Linked DNA regions of Rattus norvegicus. The protein of the gene in region 4 binds, or shares a complex with, the protein of the main gene of each other region. Links are inferred from orthologs where the notes say so. Each region holds a gene or a part of one and is shown on either strand. Other genes may lie near its edges. The genes, in order: Ddx6, Cnot2, Cnot9, Cnot1, Zfp36 and Nanos1.

The links.
Region 1: the proteins of Cnot1 (region 4) and Ddx6 are in contact, whole or in part, in a crystal structure (PDB 4CRW), measured with the Homo sapiens proteins. The link is inferred for Rattus norvegicus from reciprocal best matches to the Homo sapiens genes CNOT1 and DDX6. Residues at the interface, in NP_057368.3 of Homo sapiens: Glu1097, Ala1100, Phe1101, Phe1103, Asn1104, Asn1105, Leu1106, Ser1107, Ser1109, Asn1110, Lys1114, Lys1137, Arg1138, Ile1141, Glu1142, Asn1144, Phe1145, Leu1148, Tyr1149; in NP_001244120.1 of Homo sapiens: Phe329, Ser330, Arg331, Leu332, Gln333, Ile334, Asn335, Gln336, Leu357, Gly358, Tyr359, Ser360, Leu384, Arg386, Asn387, Ala402.
Region 2: the proteins of Cnot1 (region 4) and Cnot2 are in contact, whole or in part, in a crystal structure (PDB 5FU7), measured with the Homo sapiens proteins. The link is inferred for Rattus norvegicus from reciprocal best matches to the Homo sapiens genes CNOT1 and CNOT2. Residues at the interface, in NP_057368.3 of Homo sapiens: His1864, Ser1865, Ala1866, Ala1867, Arg1870, Asp1871, Gln1917, Pro1921, Ala1923, Pro1925, Ala2003, Tyr2036, Leu2039, Glu2040, Ser2043, Arg2045, Ile2048, Ala2049, Ala2053, His2054, Leu2079, Leu2084, Lys2086, Gln2089, Ile2090, Leu2091, Tyr2092, Lys2093, Gly2094, Leu2096; in NP_001186231.1 of Homo sapiens: Met350, Val351, Asp353, Gln354, Phe355, Gly356, Met357, Ile358, Gly359, Leu360, Leu361, Phe363, Ile364, Arg365, Gly372, Met373, Val374, Leu376, Ala377, Leu378, Gly379, Ser380, Asp381, Leu382, Leu385, Leu387, Asn388, Leu389, Ser391, Glu393.
Region 3: the proteins of Cnot1 (region 4) and Cnot9 are in contact, whole or in part, in a crystal structure (PDB 4CRU), measured with the Homo sapiens proteins. The link is inferred for Rattus norvegicus from reciprocal best matches to the Homo sapiens genes CNOT1 and CNOT9. Residues at the interface, in NP_057368.3 of Homo sapiens: Ile1415, Ala1416, Thr1418, Thr1419, Gln1422, Ile1423, Lys1426, Asp1427, Phe1428, Met1444, Asn1447, Leu1448, Gly1451, Met1452, Met1454, Ile1455, Arg1458, Glu1459, Tyr1548, Gln1549, Arg1552, Met1553, Pro1554, Gln1556, Ile1557, Leu1559, Val1564, Lys1567, Gln1568, Leu1569; in NP_005435.1 of Homo sapiens: Arg19, Glu20, Tyr23, Ile26, Asn27, Ser30, Ser31, Pro32, Arg35, Pro54, Met55, Trp57, His58, Ser59, Phe60, Gly61, Ile63, Ala64, Ala65, Leu67, Gln68, Val71, Asn72, Tyr74, Pro75, Ser76, Ile77, Asn78, Pro79, Thr81.
Region 5: the proteins of Cnot1 (region 4) and Zfp36 are in contact, whole or in part, in a crystal structure (PDB 4J8S), measured with the Homo sapiens proteins. The link is inferred for Rattus norvegicus from reciprocal best matches to the Homo sapiens genes CNOT1 and ZFP36. Residues at the interface, in NP_057368.3 of Homo sapiens: Gln821, Glu835, Asp845, Ala848, Asn849, Phe852, Gln853, Tyr856, Asn894, Glu897, Glu898, Phe901, Gln904, Tyr905, Pro906, Glu909; in NP_003398.3 of Homo sapiens: Arg314, Arg315, Leu316, Pro317, Ile318, Phe319, Arg321, Ile322, Ser323, Val324, Ser325.
Region 6: the proteins of Cnot1 (region 4) and Nanos1 are in contact, whole or in part, in a crystal structure (PDB 4CQO), measured with the Homo sapiens proteins. The link is inferred for Rattus norvegicus from reciprocal best matches to the Homo sapiens genes CNOT1 and NANOS1. Residues at the interface, in NP_057368.3 of Homo sapiens: Ile2327, Ile2330, Lys2331, Trp2338, Glu2350, Phe2353, Gln2354, Val2356, Ala2357, Met2361; in NP_955631.1 of Homo sapiens: Phe40, Ser41, Ser42, Trp43, Tyr46, Leu47, Leu49, Thr51.

Annotation. Positions count from the first base shown.
Region 1 is NC_086026.1:53,845,749-53,849,248, forward strand, and holds part of Ddx6 (probable ATP-dependent RNA helicase DDX6), read left to right. Parts: intron 1-458; coding exon 459-588; intron 589-1,497; coding exon 1,498-1,644; intron 1,645-2,924; coding exon 2,925-3,019; intron 3,020-3,500.
Region 2 is NC_086025.1:54,105,161-54,109,460, reverse strand, and holds the start of Cnot2 (CCR4-NOT transcription complex subunit 2), read left to right. Parts: upstream 1-1,500; 5' UTR 1,501-1,889; coding exon of another isoform or gene 1,890-1,894; intron 1,895-2,148; exon of another isoform or gene 2,149-2,799; intron 2,800-4,300. UniProt on the Homo sapiens protein: Component of the CCR4-NOT complex which is one of the major cellular mRNA deadenylases and is linked to various cellular processes including bulk mRNA degradation, miRNA-mediated repression, translational repression during translational initiation and general transcription regulation.
Region 3 is NC_086027.1:83,543,369-83,546,868, reverse strand, and holds part of Cnot9 (CCR4-NOT transcription complex subunit 9), read right to left. Parts: intron 3,345-3,500; coding exon 3,165-3,344; intron 1,769-3,164; coding exon 1,653-1,768; intron 1-1,652. UniProt on the Homo sapiens protein: Component of the CCR4-NOT complex which is one of the major cellular mRNA deadenylases and is linked to various cellular processes including bulk mRNA degradation, miRNA-mediated repression, translational repression during translational initiation and general transcription regulation.
Region 4 is NC_086037.1:9,316,794-9,320,293, reverse strand, and holds part of Cnot1 (CCR4-NOT transcription complex subunit 1), read right to left. Parts: intron 2,646-3,500; coding exon 2,415-2,645; intron 1,965-2,414; coding exon 1,824-1,964; intron 666-1,823; coding exon 486-665; intron 1-485.
Region 5 is NC_086019.1:92,796,309-92,800,515, forward strand, and holds Zfp36 (mRNA decay activator protein ZFP36), read right to left. Parts: upstream 2,801-4,207; 5' UTR 2,761-2,800; coding exon 2,719-2,760; intron 2,049-2,718; coding exon 1,110-2,048; 3' UTR 320-1,109; downstream 1-319. UniProt on the Homo sapiens protein: Zinc-finger RNA-binding protein that destabilizes several cytoplasmic AU-rich element (ARE)-containing mRNA transcripts by promoting their poly(A) tail removal or deadenylation, and hence provide a mechanism for attenuating protein synthesis.
Region 6 is NC_086019.1:269,882,306-269,886,512, forward strand, and holds the start of Nanos1 (nanos homolog 1), read left to right. Parts: upstream 1-1,407; 5' UTR 1,408-1,683; coding exon 1,684-2,475; 3' UTR 2,476-4,207. UniProt on the Homo sapiens protein: May act as a translational repressor which regulates translation of specific mRNAs by forming a complex with PUM2 that associates with the 3'-UTR of mRNA targets. Capable of interfering with the proadhesive and anti-invasive functions of E-cadherin.

The DNA.
Region 1 (3,500 bases), on a different chromosome or scaffold from region 4:
ATTTACTATGTGGCCATTTTCTATTTCTAACAAAAATGTCTTTGTTTGAGGACTGTTTAACCCTTTGAGATTCTTTTCTCTAGTACATGCACTTTTATTTATTTGAGGCAGGGTCTTTTCTCTAGTAGTCCTGGCTACCAAGACCAGGCTGGCCTTGAACTCTAATTTACCTGGTTAAAGATGTGTATCACCACACCAACACCCAGCTCACTAACTTTTCTGTTACGCTGCTATTCAGCTAATGTTTTTCTGTTAACAGTTTTAACAAACTTTTAGTTCAAAATGGTATTAATGCTTACTGGTCCTGCTAATCCACTTGGGTCTTTGCCATTCATGCAAGATACATACATACTACACTTCAAAGGAGTACCAAGGTGGGTGGTATTCTTCGGTGTAACTTGGAAAAGAATCTGGTAACATTGTATTTACATGTAGTTTTGCATCACCTTGTCTTTTAGGAGGAGAGCATTCCCATTGCTTTATCTGGTAGGGATATCTTAGCTAGAGCAAAAAATGGAACAGGCAAAAGCGGTGCCTACCTCATCCCCTTACTTGAACGGCTGGACCTGAAGAAGGACAATATTCAAGGTTAGCTGAATAGAGGGGAGGGGCTGCAGGGAAGACTGTCTGTACTTGGAGCTTTGTAGGTTTTAATCTTGGTCAGAATTCATTTAATCTACTGTCTTCTTGCTATATTTGGCTTAATTGTTTAAAAAATTTTTCCCCAGCTTTTAAAGGGAATTTCTCAACTTCAGAGTACTTTTTTTTTATGATTGATAAAACAGTTGAAAAAGGGTTCGTGTGAGATAAGCAAAGTAAGCTTTCTTTAAAGCCAAACTGATGAGAGGCTAAATGAGTCACTGCTTACCTCCAGCCTATGCACCTGAATTCCCTTGTGGGAACTGTGTAAGCAGAGCTCTTTGTAGAAACAGTAAATGCTTCTGTCTGTAAACCCTTGAGTTTATCAAATTTTAAGAGCTCAGAGTTCCTCCTCTGTGTAGTAAATGTCTTGGTCAGCCGAGCCTACCAGGAGAACTCCAGAGGCAGAGTAAATCAGGACTATGGGGAAGCGGCCTGTCACTGGCAAGGGCCTGGCCCCCATGTAAGCCACAGCTAGAGTTGGGGGAAAAATTAACAGCTTAGAGAGTAGAAAAGAAGCAAAGTTCTATAGTTGTATCTGGAGTCAGTTCATACAATTAAGGTTTTGCCTCTAAAGTTTTTCTTAAATTTTCCAGTTTTCCATTTATAAATCTCTCTCCTCTCATTGATGAGCATAGAACCTAAGCAGCACGCGTTGACTGCTTAGTATTTAGTGACTCTGAGAGAGTAGTGACCCTTCTGTCAAGCACATGCATCCTTTAAGACTGGTGTGTTATGTCTGTTATGCCCGTGTGTTAGGTGAACTGCCTCAGTGAAACTGTTTTTATAGCTTCTTGAACTTCTAAAAGATAGCATGTTCTCTCTTCCCTCACTCCTTTGTTCTTTGATATTTTTTAGCAATGGTGATTGTTCCCACTAGAGAACTTGCTCTACAGGTCAGTCAAATTTGCATCCAGGTCAGCAAACACATGGGAGGGGCCAAAGTGATGGCGACCACTGGAGGAACCAATTTACGGGATGACATAATGAGGCTTGACGATACAGGTAGGAGATTATTAAGGCCACAAGGCTGTCTGATTGTAGCTACAGATGCCTCCTTATTTCTTTTTCAGACTTATTTGTAATTATGTAGAGGTGGGGTATGTGGTTATGCACACCTGTGTGCAAGTGCCTGGGTGAGGGTGTGGATCCCCTGAGGCTAGAGTTATAGGCAGCTGTGCACCACAACGTAGGTGCTGGGGATTGAACTTGAATTCTCTGCAGGAGCAGCACGAGATGAGCTCTTTTTTTTTTTTTTTTTCCGGAGCTGGGGACCTAACCCAGGGCCTTGCGCTTCCTAGGTAAGCGCTCTACCACTGAGCTAAATCCCCAGCCCCTACGAGATGAGCTCTTAACCATTAAGTCTTTTCTCCAGTCTCCAAGGGTTCCCTTTTAGGAAATAATTAAAACTTTGGTCTGTTTTGTTTGTTTTGTTTTTTGAGACTGGGTTTCTCTGAGTAGCCCTGGCTGTCTTAGAATTTGCTTTGTGAACCAGGCTGGCTTTGGGAACCTGCCTCTGCCTCCCAAGTGCTGGGATAAAAAGCATGTGCTACCACTGTCTGGCACTAAAATATGGTTTTGTTTTGTTTTTTGTTTTTAAAGATGTATTTATTTATTATATATAAATACACTGTAGCTGTCTTCAGACACACCAGAAGAGGGCATCCAATCTCATTACAGATGGTTATGAGCCACCATGTGGTTGCTGGGGATTGAACTCAGGACCTCTGGAAGAACAGTCAGTGCCCTTAACCACTGAGCCATCTCTCCAGCCCCTGAGCTCTATTTTTTAACTTGCACAATTTTGTTTTTAGTGATCAGTCTTTTTTTCCCCCTTAAAACAGTCTGTGGGGTTGGGGATTTAGCTCAGTGGTAGAGCGCTTGCTAGGCCTGGGTTGGGTCCCCAGCTCTGAAAAAAAAGAAAAAAACCAGTCTGAGCAGCCTGGCCCAGATTGAACACACGTCTCCCCTGCGTTCTGGCTGTTACTTCTTGCAGATGGCTGTAAGATGGGAGTTGTGAGTCCCTCAGTTGGAGTTTGTGGTTTGGGAAGCTGGCCCACTCACTGAAGAGACGAGACAAGTATTGTGGAGCTCTTGTGAGAAGAGACAGAAATACACGGCCCACAGTTCATCTTTGTGCCTTTTTGTATTAATTTGGGTCTCTATAAACAGTATTTATGATACTAAATACGTCTTATAAAATTAATGTGTTTCTTTATCCTAGATTAAATTAACAAGAATGTATATGTTTTCTGAAGTTTTTTTTTCTCTGGGAATCTTTTTAGTGCATGTGGTGATTGCTACCCCTGGCAGAATCCTGGATCTTATCAAGAAAGGAGTAGCAAAGGTTGATCATGTCCAGATGATAGTATTGGATGAGGTAATGTTTGTTCATTTGAAAGGACTCTTCAGTACTCCTCTAGCTTTGCTTATAATTTTCACTGAATAAAGCAAACCTTGAACTGGATATGTATGATAACAAATAACCAAGCCAAGCTCAGTTTAAATCTTTCTACTTAGTGTTACATTTTAAAAGCTTGTAAGGGATCTCTCTTAACCCTTTGTTTTGCATTTGCTTCCTAATATTGGTTGGTTCTTTGTGTTTTTTATGAAATTTGTTACTTCTTTAGTTTATAACCTAGTATCAATGCCTTTTAAAAAATTACTGATCTGAAGCCAAATGTTTTACCTGGGATGTAGAGTCAGATGTCTGTCTTGAGTTTGAGAGCTGCAAGTTTCAGGCCAATCAGAACTACACAGTGAGACTCTGCCTTAAAAATGAACAAAAACTACTCATGTGTGTCTGGGATGTAGCAGTGCTGTGTACAGTTAGCCTGGCAGCATTGGTGCTTCGGTGTGCG
Region 2 (4,300 bases), on a different chromosome or scaffold from region 4:
AATGTTAGGTCATTCATTGAATGCTTTCCTAGCATTCCAGTTCCACATATTAATTTGCTCCACACATTAATTAAGAAAATGTTATCTCACCTAGTAAAACCCAATCATAGTAAAACTCAGACCTTCTCCACTGAAAGCAATTTTTAAAACTTGGACAAAAATGTGTTAAGTTAATATAGGTAAGAAGAGTAATGAATTCAAATATTTAATGTTATTTAATGTGATAATGCTACTATATACACATAAAGGGCTCCAAATAATTAGTAGCCAGATTAAGGTGCTCTGTATTACATGCATTCATACACAAGAACTGTACGTGCCTAGAGGTATACTCAGTCTTTGAACACACTACCTTACAGCAGTAGATGTTAACTTGAGAGGAAGAGAAAGCAGAAGAGATAGGAAAGCACTCTTGGGGGAGGGGCCATATAGGACTGTGTAGTTCCTTCTTGAATTTCCCTGAAGTAAAACCAAAACAAAACACAAAAGGGTAAAATGGAGTATTTAATGAAAAACCCAGCAAAATAAACCTTTTCTATTTGGCTATACCAGTTCCTGTTGATATTTAAACAAATTTACATATCTACTGTTATGCATATTTGCTGATAAACCAAAATACCTTCAAAACCTTGACAAAAGTACTTTTAATTTCATCTTGGGTTTTATCTTCCTTTTTCTGGCCTTCAACTATGATAAACCGAAGTGATATATATTGGTTGATTGGGGTGGGGGATGGGGCTGGAAGAAGGTAATTTTAAAAAAATAAAACAGCAGAAATTTTATTTACTTCAAATTAGTAGTAATCCACATTAATAAGTTCTACCACTCAAACAGGAATAGCAATGCGTTATGAAACTAGTAACTTCAAAACACACAGAGGCTTTTTTCGCAAGTTTAGTAACCATAAAACACGAAGTTTATGGATGTTCAAAGGAGTAAAGTAAGAGTATTACAGCAATGAAAACGAATTTTACTTTCAGGGATTGCACTGTTTTGGAGAACAAAACCCTGGAAGTTCCCACCACAGCCACCGTATTTTCAAAAGGTTTAGTGGATGAGCCAGCTGATCACTAAGGTTTACAAAGGGCGCGCCGGGCGGGAACTAAGTAAAATGCCATAAACATCGGACGGTTAGATTAAGCCCTCCCCGTGGTGCTTTAAAAACACGTTCCCCTTACTTCCTCTCACCAGGTTTGAACCGAAAAAACATATGAAAAGGAAGAGGGGGGGCGGCGATCAGACGCCCAGGTTCCAGCGGAGGGGAACTCACTGCTCAGGGGGGTGCCGGCGGCGTGCGGCGGGTGTTTGGGGGTGCGCACCCGGGAAGCGCAGGCTGCGGAACGACGATTGGACCTGAGTACCGCTGCCACTGCGCCGGCAGGTAGTAGTAGCACTAGCCCGGGGACAGACTGCAGGAGGTGCTCGGGGGCGGGGTGTCCGACGAAAACACAAACACAAACACGCTGTGCGTCCCCAGGTGGGCGGACCCACGCTGCCTCAGCATTTCCCCGCCCCCGCCCCCGAGGCCGCTCTCGGACCCCAGGCCGCAGCTCCTGGTGTGGCGGTCTGGCTTGGGAAGCCCGGCGAGGCCTCGGAGGCCCCACTTTCCGTAATCGCCACAAGGCAGCGCCGCACCTCCGCGGGAGGTGGCGGGACGCCTGGCGGAAGCCCGGGAAGGCTCCTGAGGAGCGCCGTGCTTCTCACCGTCGACCGGCGTTCGGGAAACACTCTGTCCTTGAGGCGAGCATCGCTCGCCACCTTCTGCCGCCGCCTTAGAGCGAAGTCGGAGCGACGGGGGTCACGGCGGGGGTCAGAGGGTAAAGGTCTTGCTCCCAGCAGCCTCCGCGGTGGATACGTCGCCATCTTGGATCCGCGGGACAAGAAAATTCATGCGGTGAGTTTTTGGCAAATTTTCGGAAGTCTGGCAGCGGGGCGCGCGGCGGGGGAGGCGGATTGAGGGCCCCCTCAAGGCGGGGGAATGCCTCGGGGCTGGTCCGGTCGCGCCCGGGGTCCGCGGGTAGCGTCCCGGCCCGCCGCTTCCCGTTGCTTTTGTCTCGGCTCCAATCGAGAGAGGGAGAGCGGAGCGGGCGGGGAGGGGGGTGGCGGCGCTGGAGGAGGGAGGGGGTGTGTGGCGGGGTGGACAAGACGTAAAGCGTCGCCGTGCTCGGGCCGCCGCCGCCGCCGCCGCCGCCGCCGCAGCCGCTGCAGCTCCGGAGCCTAGGCCCGGTCCTGGCTGCCCGCGACGGGGCTTTCCCGGTACTCCGCTTCCCCGGCTCCCGCCGGCGCGGAGCAGCCACTGCCGCCGTGCTGCTTCCTGGGGTAGGAGAGAAGGCGGCAGCGGCAGCGGCAGCATCCGAGGAGCCCCGGCCGCTTTAGACGGCTCTGCCACGTTCCCAGCAGCTGCTGGTCCTTGAATCTTCCCATTCTGGCAATACACGCGCATCCTCCGCCACTTGTGTGTTTTTGTTTGTGTAAGATGGGGACATCGCACTGGCTAACGGGCCTCAGGAGCCTCCAGGCCCTGAGATACCGAAGGGCCTTGCAAGGTAGAGGGAGGAGAGCAACTTAAGATGCTGCTTCTGCCACCGTACCCGGAGAGGGAAGCTTCTCTTGTGGTGTAGACTTGAGTTCGGATGGTCCTGGGGCAGCGGAGGAGGAACCGGAGACACTCTGAAGTTGCAAGCCCTGGTTTCTACTTCCGCCGGGCCCTCTCTACCTTTTGCTGTTTTAGGTCTTCACTTCAAAGTTTCATAGAAGAAATAAGTTGGGTTAAAAGAAACCCGATAGTTCTTAATTGAGGTACTGTTTGCTTAGGAGAAAGCTTAGAATCCTTGTTATCTGTAGGCCCTTAGGGGAATCTAATTGTACTTTTCTTTTCGTAAAATTATTTCTAAGGTTTTGTTTTTTGCATTTACTTTAGACCCCATTAGTATGTTATTACTTCCAAAAATATCTTACACACTTTCTTGGAAATCCTAGGGGACATCTCCACTTTTCAGCATCTGGAAAAACAAGTGTTAAGAGTGTTTTGCTTCATTTTCATTAAATTCTTAGCCAAGAATTTCTCTTTAATCATCTGGACAGTTCCTAATAAAATATAGCAATATGATCCTTAGATTCTTGGCGAATGGTAGAAAGTATGATACTGAGTTAACCAAATCTGTTCACAAGGGAGACATTTGATGTTCAAAAACACATTTTTCTATTATTCTCCATAGTGAGAAATTTTAAGGAGATGGAATTGTGTTCTTATAGATTTCCCTTTCCAAACAAATAAGTGAGGGTAATTTATATGGAGCGAGTGGGATAGAAATTTAAACTTTCACAACAGTTTATGTTTGGAAATGCTTGGCATATTCAACACAGTTCCTTCTCAAAAGTCACCTTTGTAGTTTTATAAGGTATTTTATTCCAAGTTGGAAGTGTTGTTTAAAAATCCAGTACACTGAAATGACTGTCTACATTCACATATTGTCTGTGTTGAGGTTTTGTGTCTTTGATATGTTTTCTTAATGATCCAAGATCATTAACAAGGATCCTTATGCTCTCCTATCTAGTCTGTTGTTATCTTAAAGCTAAAGGAAAAGTTCAAAATGCACAATTTCTTTTACTTTTCACTTTTACTGACTTTGCAGGATCCTTATTTTTAAAATGGAACCTTTTCATTTTTTAAAAAGTGACTTTTTTCTAAGTATTTTATAACTCTAGACCAGAAATAAAAACTGTATTTAGCTTTTTTTTCTTTGCATTCCTGTTAATGCTTTACTAATATACAGAAGTTAAGGTAGTGCATGTGTTGACAGAGCACTTGGGTTCTAAGATACAGTCTAGAGATATCTGTAACCCTACCAGATGCTAGAGGCTGAGAGTCATCTGCACATCAGTAAATGCAGCCTTTGGAAAATTCTGTTTCTAAAGTGCTTTAAAATAAATTTGTTTGGTGGAAAATGAAGCAGATTGATGTCTGTGAGTGGTTTTTATCCCAGCCATCTGAGAACTCTTTGATTTGAAAATGAAATCAAGCTCCAAATGATATGCTCCCTAAAATAATAATCACCTTTATTTTCCCTATATAAAGGTGGGTGCTTTTTGGTTTTTCAGAGATGCCTTAGATTTATTAAAACTTCAAAAATAAATATTTTATACTGCTGGTAAATTAGAAATACCAGTAATCCTTCTCTGCTCATTTCTTTTCTTTTTTTTTTTTTTTCCCCCCGGAGCTGGGGACTGAACCCAGGGCCTTGCGCTTGCTAGGCAAGCTCTCTACCATTGAGCTTAATCCCCAACCCTTGCTCATTTC
Region 3 (3,500 bases), on a different chromosome or scaffold from region 4:
TGTCTTCAGATACACCAGAAGAGGGCATCGGATCTCTTTACAGATGGTTGTGAGCCACCATGTGGTCCCTGGGAATTGAACTCATGACCTCTGGAAGAGCAGTCGGGTGCTCTTAACCGCTGAGCCATCTCTCCAGCCCTAGAGGCAAGCTTCTTTACTCGATGACCCATCTCATTGGTCTCAAAGCAGATTCTTAAACAGGATTTTCTCTACCTTTTCACATATGACAATATAGCAAAAAAGTTTTACCTTGCATGTCAATTCCCATTTATATCACAGAGGCTGCCTGGAATTCTAAACTAAGAAGGACTTAAGAAAGGTGTAATGGTACACACCTTTAATCCCAGCTCTGGGGAAGCACAGGCGGGTGGATATTAGTGAATTTGAGACAAGCTAGGGTCCCCAGACAGCCAGAGCTATATAGTGACACCTTGTTTCAAACAAACATAAACAAAAAAGCTTTAGAAAAAATTTTCACAAATGTGAATTTTGTGAGAAAGAGTGCTTAAAAATATTTACCGAGTTCCTATTATATGTACCATGAAACAATTGTGACCCAGTGCCTACCATGATTTAGAAAAGAGAAGTGCCCATGTACCTATCATATATTATCTTTCCTGTGATATAACCTTTGTTCTTTAAAACTTTGCTGCCATAAGATGACTGATTTAAGTAAACATAAAATAATCACTTAATTTTGTTTTTTTGGGACAGGGCCTCCCATCTTAGCCTCCTGAGCACTGGAATTCTAAGTATAGAGAACCATGGGCTAGGAAGCGCAAGGCCCTGGGTTCGGTCCCCAGCTCCGAAAAAAAAGAACCAAAAAAAAAAAAAAAAAAAAAGATAGACAACCATGGGAGGATTAAAGCTCTAGTTTTATATTTGGGGTTAAATCACTGACAGAAAATATTCTTTAAGGTAGTTAAGCAAAATCTTTCCTCTCAGAACATAGCAAATCACTAAATTAGCAAACTGTTCTATGTTGTTAAAGGTATGGAATTGTATTTTGCTTCATTTTAAAACATGTCATATTTAATTCAAATCTGTAACCAGAAACTAAAAACAGCTATCAGACTTAATGTCAACAGTCAGAAAAACAAGAAAAAGGTGGGTATGCATGGTGGTACATGCCTATAATCCCAGCAGGCAGGAGACAGAGGTGGAAGGATTAACAGTTTAAGGCCAAAGACAGTGTTGGGGTAGGGGGTGGGGCCGCAGCAGCGGCAGGAGTATCTCTGTGAGTTCAAAGCCAGCCTGGTCTACAGAGTAAGATACATGACAGCCAGGGCTTCACAGAGAACCCTGTCTCAAACACCCCCCCCCCCCAAAAAGAAAAAGAAAACAAAAGAAATCAAGCAACCTTCCCCACTAATACCTACCAACTCCAAAGCCAACTGATAAAACATTACAAACAAAAAAAGCCAAGAGACATATAGAAAGTATATTAAAAATATCCAACACACTAAAAACTGTAAAAAAAGTCATTGCCATGAATGAGTAAAAAAAAAAAAAAAAAAAAAAAAGTTCTGAAGACTGAAATCCATACATTACATTGTGTCTTCTTTCTCTGATCATTTAGCAAAGATATATAAGTTCCTATAAAATACTCACCCACCCCCATTAATTTACCAACACGCTCACAAAGCATTTACCTGGTCTCTGGGTGTGAGGCCACACACTGTAGCAATGCTAGAGCATTGCAAACCCTGTTAGATTGGTGTGCTGTCAAGGTTGGAGGGTTGATAGATGGATAAATATTTACAATTTCCTGAAAAATGCAAAGAATCCCAGACAGCAATTAATCACAAATTACCAGTGTCACAGCAAAGTATCTTTAATTCCTGCAGAAATGAAATTATTTTTCCATTACGAGCGTGCTAAACTAAATAGGCAAGACCTTTTCCTATGTGTCTCTAGGAATACTGGGTCTCCCATACTCCCCCTACACTTTGCAGTTAGTCTTCATGTATGTTGGTGTTTTGCCTGCATGTGTGTCTGTGACCAGAGAGAGGGTATCAGATTCCTAGGAACTAGAGTTAAAGTTGGTTGTAAACCACAATGTAGGCGCTGGGAATCAAAGTCCAGGACTTGTGGAAGAGTAGCCAGTGTTTTTTACCATTGCATTGAACCATCTCTCCAGAACCTATAGCCAATTGAGGGACCCTTATTTTTGTAATTTTAAGAAGTTGCATTCTACTTCATTTTTTTTCCTATTCAAAAGCTTTCTTTTATTGGATATTTTTTAATTTACATTTCAAATGTTATTCCCTTTCATGGTTTCCTGGATAAGCCCCCAGTCCCCTCCCTTTCCCCTTCTTCTATAAGGGTATTCCCCTCCCCATCCACCCCCCTTGCATTCTACTTTATAATGAGACCCATGTTGAATATAGTTCTGTTTATTTTAGCTGCAAATCCTTTCATAACACTAATAGATTCTTGGCTACATGTGTTAGGAATAGCAATATGAATTTACCAAACAAACTTGAAAGATTATTAATAATTTGAGGAGAAACTTTAGATTCATATCTCTCCTTGTACCCAGAGATTAAACTCAAATTGTCTGGCTTGGCAGCAGGTAAATGAACCACCTTACCAGATGCATCTATTTATTCTTTAATGCACACACAAACACATCTTTAATCCTATAGCTACCACACCTTAATCTCAACAATTTTCTCCCTTAGACCATTATCTACGGTTCTCATACTATTTCTATATCCTTCCCAGCTATAACAGATCTACCCCAATGTATTTCTAAAAGCCATTTCTCAATGTAGCTCTTAGATTTCACCTGTTAAACACACATTTAAGGTCTGCCTCTCAGATCAACTAAATTCAATCTCCTAGGGAGAACCCCCAAATGCATTTAACAAATACCTCTGACTTCTTAAAAATAGGATCCTACAAATGTTAATATTCAAACAACCATTCTCAAGTCTTCAAAAATCATTTGAGCACAAGAATAGAAAAACCCCAGTGGGGGGCTGGGGATTTAGCTCAGTGGTAGAGCGCTTACCTAGGAAGCACAAGGTCCTGGGTTCGGTCCCCAGCTCCGAAAAAAAGAACCAAAAAAAAAAAAAAAAAAAAAAAAAAAAAAAAAAAAAAAAAAAAAAAAACCCAGTGTGGCAGACATGACTGAATTCCTACTGTGGCTACAGACCCACCTGTAAAAGTGCTGCAATAGTACCGAATGAATGCCACAGCATGGGCGCAAGGTCAGGGACAGACTCTCGCTTCTTGCTCAGCTCCAGCAAAGCATTTTCCCTTGTTTCAGGACTGGACAGTTCATTGATCCACTGATAGATCTTCTCTCTGTCCACCTGGGCCAGTGCAGTAGGCACAGGCTTTAGGGGAAAACAAGAAAACAAATGTCAACTTAGTACAACTTAATCAAGTCTTATCCTTTAGTAGTGCTTTATAAACATGTATATTTGTAAATTATAGGAGCCTCATTAAACACATATATTTGATGCGAAGTGACTCAACCTGTTTGACCATTA
Region 4 (3,500 bases):
GAGTTTTCTGTAAGACCATTTTCTTAAAAACCAGGATAGAGACCTGAGTTTTCTGTAAGACCCTTAAAAAAAAAACAACAAACAAACAAACAAACAAACAAAAAAACCAGGATAGAGACCCGAGAACTTATTGCACCTGGACATACCCACGCATACACGCACACAGACATGACAAGTCAACAAGATGGCATGCCACAAAAATACTGAACATTGTTATATGTAACAGTAAAACTCTGAAGCTATACATGAAGATTGAAAAGTGACTTTAAAAAACTGTCCTCTGAGCGCACACACATGTATGAGTGTGCAGACACTCACACAAATATAATTTTAAAATGTTTATGGAACCCAGTAGTTAACATTGCAAACAAAAATCTAAGGCACTTTTCATGGACACATCGAACATAGACATAAAGAGAAACATCAAATCTTCCTACAAGATCAACTTTAAAGCTAATTACTAAAGGAAATATAAGAACTCTTACTTTAATGTTTCTGTAGGTTTCATTCAGAACCATCTTGTTAAATTCAGGATTCTTCAATGTATCAAGAAAGTTTGAATACAAGCTATGAAAGTTTGGCTCAATACTGACTCTTTTCATAACTAGATACTGGGAAACCCAAGGCATAAATTCTTCCTTCACAGTTTCTTTAAGCTCTTCAACCTAGCCAATAAACACGACAAAGTAGTAGAGAATTAGTATTAAAAAAAAATGTAAACAACAGATAAAATGAGGTCTGGGTTCTCATAGCACACAGCATCTGGCTTCTTACAAAACATGGTATTAAACTGTTAGGCTTGGCCTTTCCCATGACACTTCAACAACAAACAACCGTCAGATTTAACAGTGGGTGTGGGCTCTTCTTTTAAAGGCAAGGTTTCCTATGCAATAGCACAGGCTGACCTCGCCCAAACTCTTCAAAACTTTCCCTCAGCCTCACAAGTGCTGCTATTACAAACTTACACCAAAGCCCAGCAGGTTAACGTTACAGATCAAACCTACTTACCTTTTTTTTGTTTGAGGCAGGGTTTGTCTATGTAGCCCTAGGTGGCTTGGAACTCACAATATAGACCAGGCTAGCCTCAAACTCACAGAAATCCTCTTGCCTCTATTTCCCTGTGTCAGCAAGCTCAGCCTGAAACCCACTGTCATGTCAAAGCAGTACCTTAGCAGGGAAGCATCATTCCTTATGCTTTCTAAACCTCTACTTCATGTGCTCACAGGGCCTAATAAGCAATTATAGTAGATTCTGGAAGAACATAAACAAAACTTTCTACCAAAGTTAGGCATGGTGGTGCATACCTTTAAATCCCAGCACTTGGGAGGCAGACAGAATCTAGAGGCCATCCAAGTTAACATAGTGAGTTCCAGGTTGGCCAAGGCTAGTTAATGAGACCTTGTTTCAAAGAAAGGAAGGAAGGAAAAAAATAACACTTCCCTTCTCAGGAGAGCATGACATTATTTCAAAAGGTTACAAGTCACTGCAAAACAATACTACAACAAAGGATACTGTTTAATTCCTACAAAAAAAAAAAAAAAACCTTAAAAAATGTTTTTAAAGTCATGTGCCACCACACCCAGCTAAAATCATACCTTTTAACCTGAGTTTATTGGCTTTAGTTTCTAGACAGGCTCTGCAGTGATAGCTACGTGATAGAAAAGCCACCAGCTCCTTATGCTTACTTCAGCCTCCTCAGGAGCTTGGACTATAGACAGAACAAACCAACTGACTTAACTGAATTCAAAACAAAACAAAAACCAATCCCTCCATCCATCAAGGAAAAGAAGAGAGCATTTCATAAGCTATTACATCATGCTTACCTTTTGTGTCATATTTGACTGTGAGAGATTGTTGAAAATAAAAGCAATTTTCTCTTGAATATTCTCTGGGGGCTCCACAATCCTCTCAGTTTGATCTGTGGCCACAAGCAGTGTATCGATATTCGTTGTGTTTATGGAAGGCTGGAAGTAATAATGCACTGTTAGAGCAGCTGAGGTGTGACTGGGAAATCCTAGAAGACAGAAGTGCTGCAAGTGCTCAGAAGAGGAGAGCACTGGACTCCAAGCCCAGCTTGTGTTCAATTCCTGGCACCCAGATGCCAGAAGGAGAGGACTAACTCCTAAGACCTCTGACCTCCAGATACGCATCATAGGACACATGCACACAAAATAAACAAGATAGAAAGGTAATAAAACATTTAAAAAAGATTACAGAGATTCCATTAGCATGAAAAATGAACAGGGTATATAACTACACTGGTAAGATCATTAAATCCATCCCTGAATTATTACATTACATAGTGCTCTCTGGGACAATGCTGACCTTTATGCTTCCAGTAAAATAACACACAAATTCCCTACTACCTATTCACACCAACAGATCCTGGGAAAGCAAAAGGACCTGCTACTTACTGGCACATCTTTCTTAAAGCTGACTCCTGTTGGCTTGGTGACTGTAACCGTTTTAGCAACAGTGGTGGTTGTTGAGGTGGTCACCATTGTGTTAACCTGACCCGCAAGAGGGGCTTTTGCTGGAACCTGGGCCTGGGCCTGGGCCTGAGCCAGTGCAATACTTCCAGGGGTAGTGATAGAGCCCTGCATTTTCACAGGAGGATCTCGAGACTGTTGTCCATATTCGATGTACTACATGGGCACAGAGGGAAACATACAAAGGCATCTTAATAGAAATCAAGAATTCTGTTTTATGAAAGGGTAAGAATAATTTTAGTTTTCTATTAATCCTTCCCTGACATGGGCAATACTTAAGAGGATACTGAAGACCAATAAAGATAAACTAGTATGTTAAAGTCCTTTAAACTAGCCTGCAAAAAGAAAAGAAAAGAAAAGAAAAGAAAAAGGCCAGTGCAGTCTCAGGGTGAGCTGGAGAAATGGCCCAGCGGTTAAGAGCACTGACTGCTCTTCCATATGGCGGCTCACAATCATCTGTAATGGATCTGATGCCCTGGTGTGTCTGAAGACAACAAATGTGTACTCACACACATTAAGTAAGTAAATCTTTGGGGGAAAAAAGCAGTCTCAGATATCTGTAAATAAAATTCCTTAAACCCTTTAAAAATTTCTAAATTTATGTCAAGCTACATTTGATTGAACCTCAGCATAAACATACTACACTGTGTTTTGTATATCAGTAAGACTCTTAATATAAAACAGAAGAACTATAACTGCAAGCAAATTTAAGCAGAACCAACAACAGTGACTGACACTTTACTTTCAGAGCTCAGTCGGAAGACTGGCATGGGGTTCACCTAATGTTACATCAATCATCCCTACCTAAACAGTAAAACCACAACATGTAATCTCTTAATAACTAAAATACTGTCTGTCTGTCTGTCTGTCTTCCTTCTGGGAGGGTGGGAGTGTGTGTGTGTGTGGGGGGGGGGTGGTGGAGCAAACTATCCCTATGTAGCCCTAATCTGACTTGATTTCAAGAGATTTGCTTACCCCTGTCCTCCCAGTGATGGGATTAAGGTGTGAAGC
Region 5 (4,207 bases), on a different chromosome or scaffold from region 4:
GCCGCCCCGCCCCACCCCTCCCTCCTTCCTTGGCCCTGTGGGGACGGAAACATCCTGTCCCTGCCCGAGCTGGGTCAAGAGCCGGAGGGACAGGCCTGGAGCACCCCTTAGCCAAGAGAACTAGCTCTCCTTGTTCCTTTTGGGTGACCTCATCCCGCCACGCCTCCTCAGGTGAACAACCGGGCTAACGTCACTTCCTGCCAGGTAAGCGCCCCCCCCCCCCCCCCCCCCCCCCGGCAGCAGTGCTCACAGGAAGGTCTGGAGGTCAGTTTACCCACCATCACAAGGCTGTGGACCACGGAAAAAAACAAATTTCATCACAGTTCACACTCAAGATTTTATTTAAAAATTCCAAAAAAACCCACAAAAATAGACTTGTACGGTAACAATATATTACTTAATATATTATAGTATATACTTAATACAGTATCAGTTTTAACATTACAAAAAGAAAAACGGAGTAGACGACCCAATATATATAAATACTATAAAATCTTATTACAATAAATAAAGTCGTCATAAATAAAGGGTCCATTGGTTGGGGCAGGGGCGTGGGGGAAAAGGGATTTGGCAATGGCTTTGGCTATTTGCTTTGGGAGGGAAATTTGAGCACCAGGATTCTCAGGAGAGGCTACAACCACCGGACACTGAACTTCGGGGTCTAGTAAAAATTAGGATAGTATTGTGGGAGCCGGCTCTTCACAGCACTTAAGATTCCAGGAGACCAGAGTTTCCGAGGGGCTGGTGCATACCTGTAACCCCAGAACTTGGAAAAGGCTAAGGCAGGATTATATTGAGTTCAAAGCCAGCCTGGGGTACCGTAATAATCCCCTATCTCAGAAACAACATAAGACTTGAGACCTGGAAGATCAACTGTCAACTGTACCCCTCAAACATGCTACATCTCAGGTACCCTAGGAACGGATCCACCCAAACACTGAATTTGCAAACTAGGGACCTGCCCTAGCCCAGCACCAGGGGAATGGGTTAATGCAACTTGGAATGTCCAGGAGGAGGGACTTAGAGGAGTCCCCCCAGGTCCCCACAGCAACGAGCAGTTCCCTCCCTCTTCTTTGAGATCTAGCTGATCCACACTGGGCAGGCACTTGTCACTCAGAGACAGAGATGCGATTGAAGATGGGAAGACGCCTTGGGGGTGCAGGGGGCTGAGGAGGCCCAAACACCCCGGCCTCAAAGACAGGCGAGTCTGACCCACCCAGGCTGCTGCCGCTGCTGGCGTAATCATCAGGGTCGGATCCCAGAGAGTGTGCAGATGGGCTCCGAGCCAGACCACCCAAGGGCCCCCAGATGGTGCTAGGGGTAGTAGACCTTCGGCAGGAGGGACAACAGGCTGGGGTAGGGTCTCTTCGAGACACAGGGGTCCCAGGGGCAGCAGAGAAGGCAGAAGGGGAAAGTGGAAGGTCCCCAGGCGGTGGTGGGGAGCTGGAAGGCGAAAAGGAGCAAGAGGACAGGGAAGGGCCAGAGAAGCCTGGAGGTGGTGGTGAGGTTCTGCGGCCTGAAGGCAAGCCTGAGAAGCTGATGCTTTGTCGGAGCACATGGGGCTGGCCAGGGAGAGCCAGGTCCTCGGTAGGGTTGTGGATGAAGTGGCATCGAGAGCCGTAGGGGCAGCGGCCCTGGAGGTAGAACTTGTGGCAGAGTTCCGTTTTGTACTTGGGGTGGCGATTGGCTTGGCGCAGTTCACCCGGGCCGTGGGCAAACTGGCACTTGGCCCCATAGCGACAACGCCCGCTCTCTGAGTAGGTCCGACAGAGCTCAGTCTTGTATCGAGAGGAGGTGGTGGGAGTTGCAGTAGGCGAAGTAGGTGAGGGTGACAGCTCAGGGCCCGGGCGGGGAGCCAAGGGTGCGAAACCAGGGGGTGGGGGTACCCAGCTGCAGCTTCGGCCCTCCACCAGGCTAGTGGAGCGGCCAGTCAGGCGAGAGGTGACCCCAGATGGGATGGAGTCCGATGAGTTTATGTTCCAAAGTCCTCCGGAGGACTCAGTTCCTCCGTGGTCGGGTGACAGGTCATGGCTCATCGACATAAGGCTCTAAGGAGAATAGGGTTCGGTTAGGCCACCAGAAAAGGTAAGGTGACGACGCCCCGCCCCTGTGGTAAAGCACTTCACGAGCTTGTCATTCCGGTTTGTGGGTTCTCAGCCTGAGCCCCACCCGGCTCACAAATTTCAGGGAGAACCTGACTACAGAGGTTTGGGTGTTAACAAATGACTGAAGCTAATCCAGAAGGATCTAGGGAGCCCAGTATCCCCGATGGATCGAGAGAGGGTACCCCCAAATCAAAGCACCACGGCTGCTCGCCAATTTTGGGCCTTTAGACCTCCCCGGATAAGACCGCCCATCGGGCGCTCGTTTCACAACTTAGAGAAGCCGGCCAAAGCTGACCCAGGAGGCCAGATCTCTCTAGGACTCTGACCGGGTCAACTCCCCGCTCAACTTCAACACCTGCCTGGCCGCCAAACCGCGCCATGGACAGCGAAGGGTACTAGACAGGTGTGGGGCCGCTTCCGCCCTGCGCGAGTGACAGCAGTGCGCCAGCTTTCCGTCCCCAGGGGATCGCCGGTATCTAGACCGAGGCGCCGGGCTCACGGGCTCCCTCTCTCACTTCCAGCCAGTTAGGGCTAGTCTGAGAAGGAATGGAGGCGTCCGGGGCCTAAGTTTGGTGCGTCGAGGATCCGAGAGTGCTGTCTAACCAGTACTCACCTCGTAGATGGCAGAGAGATCCATGGTGGCGCGAATGGCCATGGAGAAGAGACCGACAGTCGGTTCGCAGAAGTCAGGCTGTGGGACCGCCGCAGGAGCTTTCGCCTTTTATGGGGCGGCCCGGGGGCGTGGCCACGAGAGCTTCCCGGACGCGCCCCCGCGGCGTAGCCCGGCCGGCCTGGTACTAGGCCCCTTCCGCCCATCTGCTGGTTAGCATGCACAATGTGCCTGAACTTGGCTCTCCCACAGCCCTCTCCCACGAGGTTAGTGGGGAGGGCTGTGTACCACAGATTTGGTGGTGATGGGAGTGGGGCGTCTGACTAGTTTTCAGAGGTTGAAGGTAGTCGGGAAGAGAACTGGGGCAGAAGTGGGGGCAGGGCTCTAGGGACAATTGACAAGGGCAGAGACTGAGAGGGCGTGTGCGTGTGAGACAGACGGGGGCGGGGAGAAACAAGCTGGTAGAGACAGAGATGGCCAGAAGCTGAGAGAAAAACAAAGAGACAGTGAGAGACATTCACACTGGACCCGCTGGTTTGGGATTGTGATTCCAGTCACTTGGGGAGGCTGAGGCAGGAGTCTGGGACTTCAAGGCCTGGCTCGACTGTATTGTGGGTTCTAGGGCAGCCTAGGTAACTTAGTGAGACTCTTGTCTTAAAAAGTAAAAAGGCCCCAGATGTTGGCTCAAACTTTTAATCTCAGCACTTGGGAGGAAGAAGCAGAGGGATCTCTGTGAGTTCGAGGCCAGCCTGGTTTACAGAGCGAGTTCCAGGACAGCCAGGAATACACATGAAACAAAAGACTGGCATATGGTTGTGATCCTGGTTCTGACCTATACGGAGTGGGGAGACAATAGGGAGAGGGGCCTGGGACACAAATCTCAGTGAGGAAGCCGGTTACAGAAGGATGAAAAGGGAAGTTGAAATAAAAACTAAAACCTGAAGGCACAGAACCTGTAAGACAGTTGGCTCAGGTAGGGACCGCTCAGAACTTTACTTCGCTCAGCAGCGCCCTTCCAAGTCTAGCAAGGCTGGACAGAGCCCATTTACCCAAGCTGCACTTTAAATTAAGAGGTTTTGCTTCCGAAGCTCAAGGCTGTAACAGCTTGAGTCTTTTATTAGGGAGGAAGCTCGCCTCTATTAAAAATATGGGCCACCTTCAACGTTGAATGGGTTTCTTGTAGTGCAAGCAGTCTTTAAGCAAACTTTAAACTCTCTCGAGGTCTGTAAGGGTTTTGTTTTTAGGTCGGGTCTCCTTAGCAGGCCTGGAACTCGCGATCCTCCAGTCTCCACCACCCAAGTAGTGTTAGGATTACAGAAATAGCTGCCACACCCAAGTAAAAAGTGTTATTTCAAAGATATCTCCAGTGAAAAACTGTTCTTGTGTATGGGGGTTATCATTGCCAGGAGTGTAATTACAATGCCGGGAAGTTCTAGCACGGTGCGTTGCGCACTTGTATCGAGATAGGGAGATTCTGCCAGGCTTCTCACTG
Region 6 (4,207 bases), on a different chromosome or scaffold from region 4:
ACTGCTGATATCCCAAAGATTGAAATCACCCCCAAAGAATTACTTCTGAACAGGCCCATGACCCTCTTTGTCCTATTAACCTTTCTTCCTCCCTTACCTTTGGTCGGCTATAAGGGAGCTTGATGTGTTAAAGGACCCTTATTAAAAGTAGGTTTGTGCGGCTGGAGAGATGGCTCAGTGGTTAAGAGCACTGACTGCTCTTCCCAAGGTCCTGAGTTCAAATCCCAGCAACCACATGGTGGCTCACAACCATCTGTAATGGGATCTGATGCCCTCTATATAATAAATAAATAAATCTTAAAAAAAAAGTATGTTTGTAAAAAAAATCTAAGCCAAAACATGTGAATGTGGTTTACCACCTAAGGAAAGCTGATAGCATCAGAGGTCCTATCACCTTGTGCAAAATCAGCTCTCTCCTCTGCCGAGCAAACAAAGAGAAGGCATTTTCTGTTCCTCATTCTAGGTCACATTCCTGAAGAGCCCTCAGCGCCTTTTCCTAGTTTCAAATTGCTTTTTGAGGTTGTTGGTGCTTATCATTTAAGTTGCCTCTTTTCTAGAAAGGACAAGACTACCTCTTAATCTCCTAATAAGTCCTTTATTTTCCAGGGTTTTACCAAAAAGAGAAAATTTTACCTGTTTCAAAGCACTGAATATGCTGTTTTTCAAGTTCCACAGACACTGGATTTCCATATAAGCACCCGGAAGAGGAATTTCACACAAACTGACACATAGTAAGAATTTCTGGTCCAAGTTGTCACCTCTACGGCCCCAGTTTCTGAACACCTACCTGTTGGACTTGCTGTGATCCTCCACTATTCGCTACCATATAAACAATAAAAATCATGAGCTTCCTCCCTGAGCCTCAAGGTTTATAGGAGGACTTCACCCTGTGGAAAGAGCGCCAGAGCGCTATGCCAACTGAAGTCACTGGGTCTCTAGCTGGGCTAGCGTTGGGAATTAGCGCCTAGCCTTGCCTCTCACAGCTTTTCTTGCTGATGATGATAAAAAGCAAGGGGAACGTGGTGGCTTCAGACCATAAACCCGGTCCAGCCAAAGCTGCAAGTGGATGCACGCATCCCAGTGGCCTCATCGCGATCTGTGCCATCCGCATCCTCAATATCCCGCAGGAAAACAAAAACAAAAACAAAAACAAACAAACAAGCTGGGTCACCAGTTGAGGTCTCCACGCTCGTGCAAAATCAAGCACCAGCCACCGCCTCATCCAGCCCCTTTCTGCACAGCCATCCCCTCCCCGCAAGCACCGCCCGCCCCTTCCCGGATAGCCACCAATCAGCGTCCCGACCGGCGCCCGCGGAGTCAGGTCGGTAGCCATTGAGCGCCAGGGCCCGAGGCGGCGCCTCACCCGCCCCCTCGCAGGATGCCAGGCGCCCCGCAGCTGGTGAGGTGGGCGCAGCGCGCGGGGCGCAGGAAGCGCGCGGGGCTGGAGAAGAGCGCGCGCCCGCCTCCGCTCCGCCTCCGTCCGGGGGCGCGGGCGCAGTGGCCCGGGCGGAGGATCGCAGGGGGCAGGGCCGAGACAGCGAGGAGGGGCACGGGAGAAAGCGGGAGCGATAAAAGGAAGCAAGGGTGCCCCACCCCGCGGCAGGCCGGCGGGCAGGCTCCTGCGTCCCTTCCGTCCGGCCCTTGCCGGCGGCGGCGGGGAGGCGCGCGGCCCGCTGCCGGCCCATGGAGGCTTTCCCTTGGGCGCCACGCTCGCCCCGCCGCGCCCGCGCCCCCGCGCCTATGGCGCTCGTGCCCAGCGCCCGCTACGTGAGCGCCTCGGGCCCGGTGCACCCGCAGCCCTTCAGCTACTGGAACGACTACCTGGGGCTAGCCACGCTCATCACCAGGGCTAGCGACCGCGGCTCCCCGCACGAGGGGCCCGGGCCCACGCCGGCCGGGCCCACACTGGGGCCGCCGGAGGACGATGAAGACGACGACGGCGATGAGCCAGAGGCCGGGGGCCGCTACCTGGGCGGCGCGTTGGAACTGCGCGCGCTAGAGCTGTGCGCCGGCCCAGCCGAGGCCGGGCTGCTGGAGGAGCGCTTCGCTGAGCTGAACCCATTTGCAGGGCGCGCCGCCGCGGTGCTGCTGGGCTGCGCGCCCTCTGCCTCCGCCGCCTCCACGGCCGAAGTGACGCCGCGCGAAGAGCCGAGCCCTGCGTGGGCAGCCGAGCCTCGTCTGCACGCGACCTCCGGGGCGACCGCCGCGCGTCTGCTGAAACCGGAGCTTCAGGTGTGTGTGTTCTGCCGGAACAACAAGGAGGCGGTGGCGCTCTACACCACACACATCCTTAAGGGCCCGGACGGCCGGGTGCTGTGCCCGGTCCTGCGCCGCTACACGTGCCCCCTGTGCGGCGCCAGTGGCGACAACGCACACACCATCAAGTATTGCCCACTCTCCAAAGTGCCACCGCCCACCGTCCGCCCGCCGCCGCGCAGCACCAGAGACAACCTGCCAAGCAAGAAGCTGCGCTAGAAGCAGGCTGCATCGAGCTGCGTACACCTGAAACCTGGACTCTTCTCCCGTGGCTCAACTTGGGAAGTCCTCTTGGTTTTATGGAAGCCGCAGGGGCATAGCACTTTCTTGTGGAGTGATAGGTCTCTGACGTTGAAATATTGGATTTTGTCCCTAGTTTCTAAAACGCGCATCCAGAGTGGTGAGGGCTGAGCGGTTGTTCCACTGGCTGAAGTGCGGTGAATGAGGCGCTGTTTACTGTATACGTCAGCCTATTTTAGGTGCGCATCCGTATGAATTGTCTCTGATCTTGGATGTTTTCGTTTTATGAATGGAGGCACTTTATTAGGTCTAGAGTATTTTTAATAGCCTCTGAACTGAGTGTAAAACAATTGTATGGAATGTCGGCAAAATGACTATTTTATTGTTTGATGCAATTAATTTATTTTAGTTTCTCATTCTAATTGCAGGTAAAGCAACTTAGTACACTTCCCAATATTGAGAGGATGTTCCTCCTCGTGGCTTGTTTCTGTCCTAGATGGGAGGCTTAAAGGCACAATCTGTAGCAGGTAGAATACAGTTCCTTATCATTTTATGTATCAGCTATTCTACTGAATTAGCAAGTAGTCCTTCCAACCCTTAAAATTAACTGTGCCAAGGCTTAATCATATCGTGTACATATTTGGAAATGGTGCTGTTTAAGAGACGTGTATTTATACAGTGACAGTATTATGAATCCATTAATCTCCCCTGTAACTCCTACTTAGCATTTTCTCTATGCACCACCCCAAAGGTCCAATTCTGATGCTAAGGCGTGCCCTCCTCAGAAAGGAGGAAACCTTTTAGAGCAGTGTTAACCCACCTTGATTGCTCAAGTTCAGGGTTCCTAAATAGAAAATGGGGAACTATAATGCAATAACTCGAGTTCTAGAAAGTTCTACTCTGGGCTGTTTGCCTTCCAATTTACAGAGGGTGTACCAGAATAAATACTTCGATGCTGTAACAATTGCAGTTGGATACAAGTATCATAATCTCCCCTCTTGGTGGTTCCACTATTACTGAGAGATCCTAGTCTGCTTCCAGAATACTAAAAGATCTTCATGCAAAAGTTCCTAACCCTTTGTTCTCCTGTAAATCTATCATCCTGAGTGCTGGGATGTGGCACAAAGCCACTTACCATCTAGACAGAAAAGGTGAGGGTGAGTTAACATAAATTCAGACATGCACCAACACCACTCTCTGCAAATACCAGTCAAAAGATTAAAGCTTGCAATAGTCAAATTTAGCTAGGAATACAAGTCAGGCTAGACTGCCTTTCATATTAAGCAGCAACTTCACAGCAAACTTACTTTCTGTATAAAAGAAGTCATGTGAAAATACTACCTACTGGTAAAAGGGAGGACATTCTTAGCAAGGAAGAAATCTATCCCTGTTATAGCCCCACAGTCAATGGGCCTGGGCCTAAATTTAATAAAACCATGTTCCTTGTTTTGCTAGAAAATATACAGTTTGTTTTGGGGTGAAGTTTTTCAAGTCAACATAAATTCACATCCTCTAACTGATCTGCCTGTTCAAAAAGGTATTCTCGATATCAAAAGCAGTAGGTATCAAGCCAGGATTGCTGTAATCCCACCAGATGTTTCCCAAGGTGTGTGTGTGTGTGTGTGTGGTGCCAGTATATAAGTACATGAGCTGAACAACTATCATGTGTACCTAATAGCAACTTTGAATTTTTGGCATTTTGCCGGAACTA